2 linked regions of the Cricetulus griseus genome follow. The protein of the gene in region 1 interacts with the protein of each later gene in a biochemical or structural test. Links are inferred from orthologs where the notes say so. Each region holds a gene or a part of one and is shown in the gene's direction. Other genes may lie near its edges.

Evidence for each region.
Region 2: the proteins of Nfya (region 1) and Zhx1 form a complex in vitro, tested with the Homo sapiens proteins (2 studies listed by BioGRID). The link is inferred for Cricetulus griseus from reciprocal best matches to the Homo sapiens genes NFYA and ZHX1.

The regions. Positions count from the first base shown.
Region 1 is NW_023276806.1:254,894,611-254,898,416, forward strand, and holds part of Nfya (nuclear transcription factor Y subunit alpha), read left to right. Parts: intron 1-2,244; exon of another isoform or gene 2,245-2,385; intron 2,386-3,112; coding exon 3,113-3,259; intron 3,260-3,806. UniProt on the Homo sapiens protein: Component of the sequence-specific heterotrimeric transcription factor (NF-Y) which specifically recognizes a 5'-CCAAT-3' box motif found in the promoters of its target genes.
Region 2 is NC_048603.1:29,563,424-29,567,671, forward strand, and holds the start of Zhx1 (zinc fingers and homeoboxes protein 1), read left to right. Parts: upstream 1-1,231; 5' UTR 1,232-1,550; intron 1,551-4,248. UniProt on the Homo sapiens protein: Acts as a transcriptional repressor. Increases DNMT3B-mediated repressive transcriptional activity when DNMT3B is tethered to DNA. May link molecule between DNMT3B and other co-repressor proteins.

The DNA.
Region 1 (3,806 bases):
ATTGGGCTCTCTTAAAAAATGAAATAAAAGTTATTGCTGGTTACATTAATATCCTTTAAAAAAAAGGGGGGGCTGGAGAAATGGCTCAGCGGTTAAGAGCACTGGCTGTTCTTCCAGAGGACCCGGGTTCAATTCCCAGCACCCACATGGCAGCTCATAACTGTCTATAACTCCAGTTCCAGGAGATCTAACACCTTCACATCAATGCACATAAAATAAATTTAAATAAACTAGTTTAAAAAAAAAAAGCTGGAAGCTGGAGTTAACCTAAGCTGTCTTCACTGTCGTGTATGGTCAATTTAAATATCCTAAGTTCCCTCAAAAAACAAGAGTAGCAACTTTGGTCTTTTCTGGGTCCATTGAGAACTAAAGGTCTTGAGAAATTGGCGAGATTCAGATGTCTTCCTCCACTGAATTGGAATGACTTAGTGGGACTGCCAAGTTCAAACTAGCATCTCACTTTACAGGGAGTGCTGCTGAGATCCTCTGGAAAGTAACTACCCCTTCCTGTAAGACAGTGGTTCTCAACTTCCTAATGCTGTCAACTTTATACAGTTCCTCATACTGTTGTTATCCCAACCATAAAATTATTTCATTGTTAATTCATAACTGTAATTCTGCTGTTAGGAATCGTAATATAAATATCTGTGTTTTCCGATGGTCTTAAGCAACCCCTGTGAAAGTCTCATTTGACTCTTTCATAGGGGTCATGACCCCTTCAACCTGCTCTAACCCTGCCACTTAGTAGTGTTTGGTGATGACATGTGGCCATACACATAAATTAAGATACAAGAAGTTGATTTTGTTTGTCTTCCTACACAGTTGGAATCTCAGGGAGTGCAGCAGCTTTCTGTTCCTGCTTGCTTCATCTTTTAATACATGAGATGGGTGTCTGGGATTGTCATTAACCATCATAGAATGGGAATGTAACATGCTCTTAACTGTGTGGCTTCTGTCTCATGCATGAGTCCTTATCGTCTGTTGTAGACACAGTGAGCTCTTCAGAGTCTCACATCCTTTATCGCATATATATATATATATATATATATATATATATATATATATATATATATATTGTTAGTATGTGTGTGGGGGGGTGATGGATAATCAGAAAACTATTGCCTTAAATTTGTCAGCTCTGGGAACTGTTTGCAATGACCTAAGTTTGGGTCCATAGACCCACACAAATATGTGGGTTTGCCCCTGTAGTCCCAGCACTAGGGGCAGAAACAGGCAGAACCTGGGGCTGGTGGAGCCCTGGAGACTGTCTCACAGCAACAATGTAGTGAGCAGTAGGAGATGACATCCAGTGTCAGCTTCTAGCCTCCACTTTGACACAGGGGAACTGTACACCCTTACAACACACAGTAACAACACAGCTGTGTTAGCTTAAATAGGTCTAGATTGCATTTAAAAAAAAAAATTGAAGTGATGGGAATTTTCCTCTATAAGTCTCATCATTTTAGGAGAATTTTAAATAGTTCTTTCCTCCTGTAGTAAGGCTTCTGATAAGTTTCCTAACACAGCATACAAAAGCATTGGTGTAGCAAAGGGGATTTAAATGGAGAATTAGGAAGAGAGAATGTAAGAATATAAGCCATGAATTCTTTCAAAGTCACGAGTTTCTCGGGACAGCCCTGAGGTTGGGCTACTCCTGGTGGTTCTCATGGAGAGTGGTAGCAGAGAGCCTCACCATCTTCCTTATCTAGGACAAATTCATCAGTCTCACAGTTGATTGGTACTTTTGGAGTAGACTGCTGCTGGAACTAAGAACTAAGAATGAGTATTTTGTTCTTTTCTGTTACAAATAGTTCTTTCAAGCAAAGACAGTCTTAAGGGAGAGTTTGGGTTTGTCCTGTTACTCATCCACACTTCCAAAGCAGTTCTGTCTGGACCTCTGAAAGGCATTCTCCCTGAGTTTTCACATTGGGGTTCAAGAGCTGACAGCATGTGTGCCTCTACCTTTCTAGAGTGAAGACTTGAAGATTGGAAATCATTTACACACAGTAGCTGTCTGATTTCAGTGTTTCATTGCTTTTGATAATTAAAATAACTATGCAAAGATTTAAGATGCAGTACACAGAACTCTACTGTGATGATCACTGACTGGAAAGTATTTCTGGAGAGTCTTGCTTTGACTTGATTTTTTTTTATTTATTTAATTTATTGGCTTGATTTTTGAGACAGGGTCTTATCAGGCTTATCTGGAGCTCACTGTGTAACCCATCTGTCCTCAAACCTCAGCTTTCAGAGTGCTGGGATTACTGGCCTGCCCAGTCCGTGAGTCTTTAGTGGTAGAAGCAGCAGCCATTCCTGGACTCCTCGGAATGAAGTGGAGGTGAATGTTCATGGTTCCCTTTGCGTGAGGCCCAGGAGAACCTTCAAGTGAGCTTTCAGAGCTTATCCTATTAAGCCTCTGGAGTTGGGGCTGCACTTTGATTCATTTCTCACTCCCACCACATTACCTCTCCCTCATTACTGCTTTTCCAGCCTTTAGCGAAACTGAGAATTCAAACAGTTTTGATAACTTGACTGTTTTCTTGGATTCAGCTTGTTTTGGTGATAAATGCCTTATCTATTGAGATTTTCCAGATTCTAGATAATTTCCATTATTTTTGAATATCTATCTTGGCACTTAAAAAAATATCAGATATCTGAAGAGCATAAGACTTACATTCTTGGAGCTGCAGAGATGACTCAGTGGTTAAGAACACATACTGCTACTACAAAGGGTCGGAGTTTAGTTCCTAGCACCCATGTGGCAGCTCTTAATCACCTGGAACTCGAGTTCCCAGGGGTCTGACATCCCACCTTCTGCAGCATATGCACACAACCTACACACACACACACAGTGGGGGGGGGGCATGTAAAAAGACTTTTTAATCTCTGCTCTTGGGAGGTAGAGGCAAGAGGATCTCTGAGTTCAAGACCAGCTAGCACTGCATAGAATAGAATGACCCTGTCTAGGGGGAGGGGAGAGGACTGACTTTCCTAAGTCTGTCTTGTCTCCCCTCTTGCTAAGTAGGAGGACAGTTCCAGTGACCAGTGAATGTCTTAGTGAAGCCACTTGTGTCTTACACTGTTTCATTGTTGGTGTTTTATTTCATTCTAGGTCCAGGGACAGCCATTAATGGTACAAGTCAGTGGAGGCCAGCTAATTACATCAACTGGCCAACCCATCATGGTCCAGGCTGTGCCAGGTGGACAAGGCCAAACTATTATGCAGGTACCTGTGTCTGGAACACAAGGCTTACAGCAGGTAAGTAGTATTTTTAAGTATTTAGATTGTACATCAGCAAAGTTTGGTATGATTTTGAGTTAAGTAGTACTCAAAGGTCCTTAAGAAAACTTAGGCAGTGTTTAGCCTAACCAAAAGATCCAAGGATGTCTCTAAGACTTGGGGCCATGTCCTGATTCCCTCTACCAGGAGTCAGTCAACCGGAGAGCTTCGGGAACTTGAGGCTCTAGGCATGTCCTTTACAAACTCAGTGGGTAGAAGGTAGCTTGGAGAATCCCCCCAAGCTGAAAGTAACCTCCTAGCTGATAGATCAGCAAAGCAAGGCTTGAGAGGGTCAAGGAAGAGTGACAGACCATTACAAAGCTGGTGAGAAGGGACATGGAGATCTACAGGTGGGCCAGGGATAATGACTTTGTTTATGTGGCTGGGCTTCCTGGGTTTTTTAGGTTGGGGGTATTCTTGAGTATAAAGTACTAGAAATTTTGCATTGTAGGGCCTTCCTAAATGCTTTCTCATTGGATCTTAAGAGGTTTGTATTCAGTGGTAAAGGAAATAGGTTCCTGCACAT
Region 2 (4,248 bases), on another chromosome or scaffold:
GGGTGCACGAGCTTTAGAATCTGGGATACAATTAAAGTATTGTGCACGTCGACTTCAGCAGCCGGGCCTCCCCTTCAAGCAATTGCAGGCTGCAGATTTTAGCAGTGGGTAGTGCGGCTTGGTGGAGGAACCCTGCTACCAAAGCACAGAGGGTCTCTGATTGGGATGGGGGTGCGTCCGGGGCCGTGAGCACCCTCGGGGTGAGTGCTTGCTTCTCGCCTTCGTTTGCACCATCCTTTTAACCGTGGGAGGGGAGAGGCGGTGGGGAAGGCGCTGAGGACCTCAGCTGGGGCCCACGAGAGCTCAGCGTCCCTGCGTGGCTCGCAGGGGGACGCTCAACTTTTCCCCATCCGTCCATCCGGAGAGAGCTGGAGCCGCGGCGGCCGCTGCCCGGCTGGGCTCGGCTGGGCTCGGCTCGGCTCGGGCCGGCTCGGGCCGGGAGGGGCGGAGCCGCCGCTGGCAGGCGCGCGGGACTGTTGACAGCCGGAGGGGGCGTGGCTGGAGCCGGGAGGGCCGCCGGAGGCGGGGCTGAGAGGGGAGGGACGGGAGGTGGGCGTGGCGTGGATGTGGGGGCGGGACCTTGGAGTCACGGTCCAGGGAGGGGGGCGGGGCCTTCGAGTCCCGGGGTCCAGGGAGGCGGGGCCTCCGTGGAAGAAGAAAGTGACTAGAGGCCGCCGGAGGCGGGGCTGAGAGGGGAGGACGGGAGGTGGGCGTGGCGTGGCTGGGGGGCGGGACCTCGGAGTCAGGGTCCAGGGAGGGCGGGGCCTCCGTGGAAGAAGAAAGTGACTAGAGGTCGCGGTGGGAGGCGGGAGGCGGGGCTGAGAAGGAAGGGACGGTGATGTGGGCGTGGCGTGGCGGTGGGAGCGGGGCCTCGGAGTCACGGTCCAGAGAGGGGGCGGGGCCTCGGAGTCAGGGTCCAGGGAGGGCGGGGCCTCCGTGGAAGAAGAACGTGACTAGAGGTCGCGGTGGGAGGCGGGAGCCGGCTCCGCGCCGCGGCGGCGGTGGGCGGAGCAATGGGCCTGAGAGGGGCGGGGCCTCGCGCCGCCGGAAGGCGGGGCTTCCCTGACGGGGCGGGCTTGGGCGGACAGAGGCGTGGCTCCTCCTGACAGGGGGCGGGGCTCCGCTGACAGGGGCGGGGCGGGCGGGGCGGCGCGCGCCTCCCGCAGCGCGGGGACCCTGGGGGGGAGCGGCCTGGGTCTCGTCCCGGCGGAGCGGAGCGGAGCGCGGCGCGGCGGAGCGGAGGAGTCCTCGCGTGGGGCGCCGGCTCGCCCCGCCTCGCCTGGCTCCTCCTCGCGGCCCCGGAAGGCTCGGGGGTGGGGGGTGGGGGGACGAGGGCGTCCCCTCGCACCCTGGCTCCGCGTGTCGCTGCTGCCGGGCCGCGGGGCTCCGTGGGCCCCCCGCGTGAGGGCCGTCCGAGTGGTTCCGGGGTTAGGGTTCACGGGTCAGAGTTGACTCCCTGAAAAGTGCAGTCGCTCTCAAATGCAAGATGGCGGCGGCGGCGGCGGCGGTGGCGGCGGCGGCGAGGCGCTGAGGCGCGGCGGCCCCTGCAGGTAGCTGCGGCGAGCGGGCGAGCGGCGGGCGAGCGGCGCGAGCCGAGCTCCCCGGAGCTCGTGGCGGAGGGGACAGCCCCGGGGCAGACGTCCCCCCGCACCTCACCCCTCCCCCTCCCCTCCCCTCCCCTCCCCTCCATCCCCTCCCCTCCGCTCCCCCGGGACCCAGCCCACGGCGTCCGTGCGAGCCGCGTGGGACCCGGAGGCACCCGGCGGGCCTGCCCCGCGCACTCGCGCCTCCCGGGAGCTGTCGGGGATGGCAGGGCGAGCGCGGGGCGCGGGAGAGCGCTGAGTGAGTTGGGGCGCTGAGGGACGGTGGCAGCCCGTGCCCGGGGAGGACCCCCCTGACTGCGCCTGGGGACCTGAGGGAGGCGGCGAGCGCTGGCCGCCCCGGGCGTGGGGCCACCTGGCGGGGACGCAGAAGAGTCCGCGAGGGTCTCCGCGTGGGCTGGAGCCCCGGGGAGCCTCGGCCGGCAGGGGGGACGCGGAGTTGCACCCCTGAGTGAGGAAGACCAGGGTTGTCAGGGAGAAGTTAATGGAAGAGGGGGGGACACACTGTCTTCTGTGGAGCCATGGCTGGGGAGAGAGCGTGCTGGCCCTGGGGAGTCTCCATGCCTGGGTGTCAGGGAGAAGTTAATAAAAGAGGGGGGACACACTGCTGAGGAGACAGCGTGCTGGCCCAGGGGAGTCTCCATGCCTGGGTGTCGGGGAGAAGTTAATAAAAGAGGGGGGGACACACTGTCTCTCCGTGGAGCCATGGCTGGGGAGAGAGCGTGCTGGCCCAGGGGGGTCTCCATGCCTGGGTGTCAGGGAGAAGTTAATGGAAGAGGGGGACACACTGTCTCTCTGTGGAGCCATGGCTGGGGAGAGAGCGTGCTGGCCCAGGGGAGTCTCCATGCCTGGGTGTCAGGGAGAAGTTAATAAAAGAGAGGGGGACACACTGCCTTCTGTGGAGCCATGGCTGGGGAGAGAGCGTGCTGGCCCAGGGGAGTCTCCATGCCTGGGTGTCGGGGAGAAGTTAATGGAAGAGGGGGACACACTGTCTCTCTGTGGAGCCATGGCTGGGGAGAGAGCGTGCTGGCCCAGGGGAGTCTCTATGCCTGGGGCTCAAAGGGAACGACCTGCTGATTCCTTGACTCGGGTGAATGGCTACAAAGAGGGAATGAAAGAATTGGGGTCTGACAGGCAGGAAAGCCCAGCCCTGACACCGAAGTTGCAAGAGAAGGGACTTGGGATTCTTTGTCCAAGGGGACCAGCAAGGAACGAGCACGACCGACGAAAGGGACTCTGTTTGCTGTCCTTAGTGCAGGGGGACCAAGCCCCTGGGGAAACTGAATGGCTAGAGTAGAATGCCAAGGCACTTTTCTGCCGCCAGCCCTTGTTTAAGAGACAAAACCCAAACCACACCGTGAAGGGACACTGTATAGGAGAAACTTGTAAGAAAGGCTGGCTGAGAATTTGTGACATGACTAGGTGGGAGTCTGTGTAACTGGCAGAAGCAGTGCTCTCAGAGGTTAACAGGATAGCAATTGAAAATCCATAAGAACCCCTCCCTCTACCCCCAGGAGGAGTGAGGGGTGTGTGTGTGTGTGTGTGTGTGTTTGTGTGTTTGTGTGTGTGTGTGTGTGTGTGTGTGTGTGTGTGTGTGTGTTGCAGAGTGATATAAGTGCACCTTTTTGTTTGAGGTGTTGGTCACTGTATCTCTGTCTCTGTCTGAAAGAAAGCTGTGATTTGTGTGCAGTAGTAACTAATGCCCTGAAAAAGTCAGTATTTTAAACTAAACTGAAAGTTTGTTCCAATAGAGCTATTGGCACATAGATTATTTCAGTTTCTAAAGAAGCGATTCTGACTCCAGATTTAGTGAGGAAAGGTTAAGTGCTGCCAATAACACAAGTTTGGTAACAGGGCATATAAGGAAAAAGACGTGGTGTGTGTGTGTGTGTGTGTGTGTGTGTGTGTGTGTGTGTATGTGTTACAGTATTTCATTTATCAGTGATTTTTTTGTACAGTTACCTTTGATATTTGACTGCTTAGATTAAAATGAGGGGGGAAAAAAACCACGCTAGTGACTTGGGTAACTTAGACAGTTATAATTCATACAGATGTCCCGAGCTGTGCTTGTATTCTTAACAGAGCTTACTGTTTTCGTTGGAAATGTTTTGAGGATACAGGTCAAGTATAACTAGCTGTATAACTTGGAACACTTGTCTAAGTATGTGCTGTTCCTTGGTTTCCCCACAATGCACACGGCTCTGGTGTTCTACCCAGTTCTGAACAGATTAGTCTGGCAAAGCAGAGAGGCGCAGATGCCAGATGGTTTGAAAATATGCTAAGGCCGAAAACACAAATGTGTCTGCGCGGAAGATGCTCATCGGTGGTTTCGCTCCCTCACCGCCAAGCTTGCTTTACACTGGGCTGGACGGTAGGACGTGCAGGACGCCACCCTGGTCCCACCTTTCACCAGTCTTCTCTGTGCTGAAAAGCAGCAGAGCTTGGCTTTTTACTAAAATAGTTCATCGCGCAGGTGTGGAGCTTGTTCTGAAGTTTTCTGTTTTGTTTACTCCACATTCAGATGGAAAGCTGACGTGATGAAGTGTTTTCTTTTTATTGTCATGCATGCTTTAAAAATTACTGTCCTTGCCTTTGGGTGTTCTGCCTGCTTGTGCAGTGCACCATGGTGTGCAGTGCCCTTGGAGGC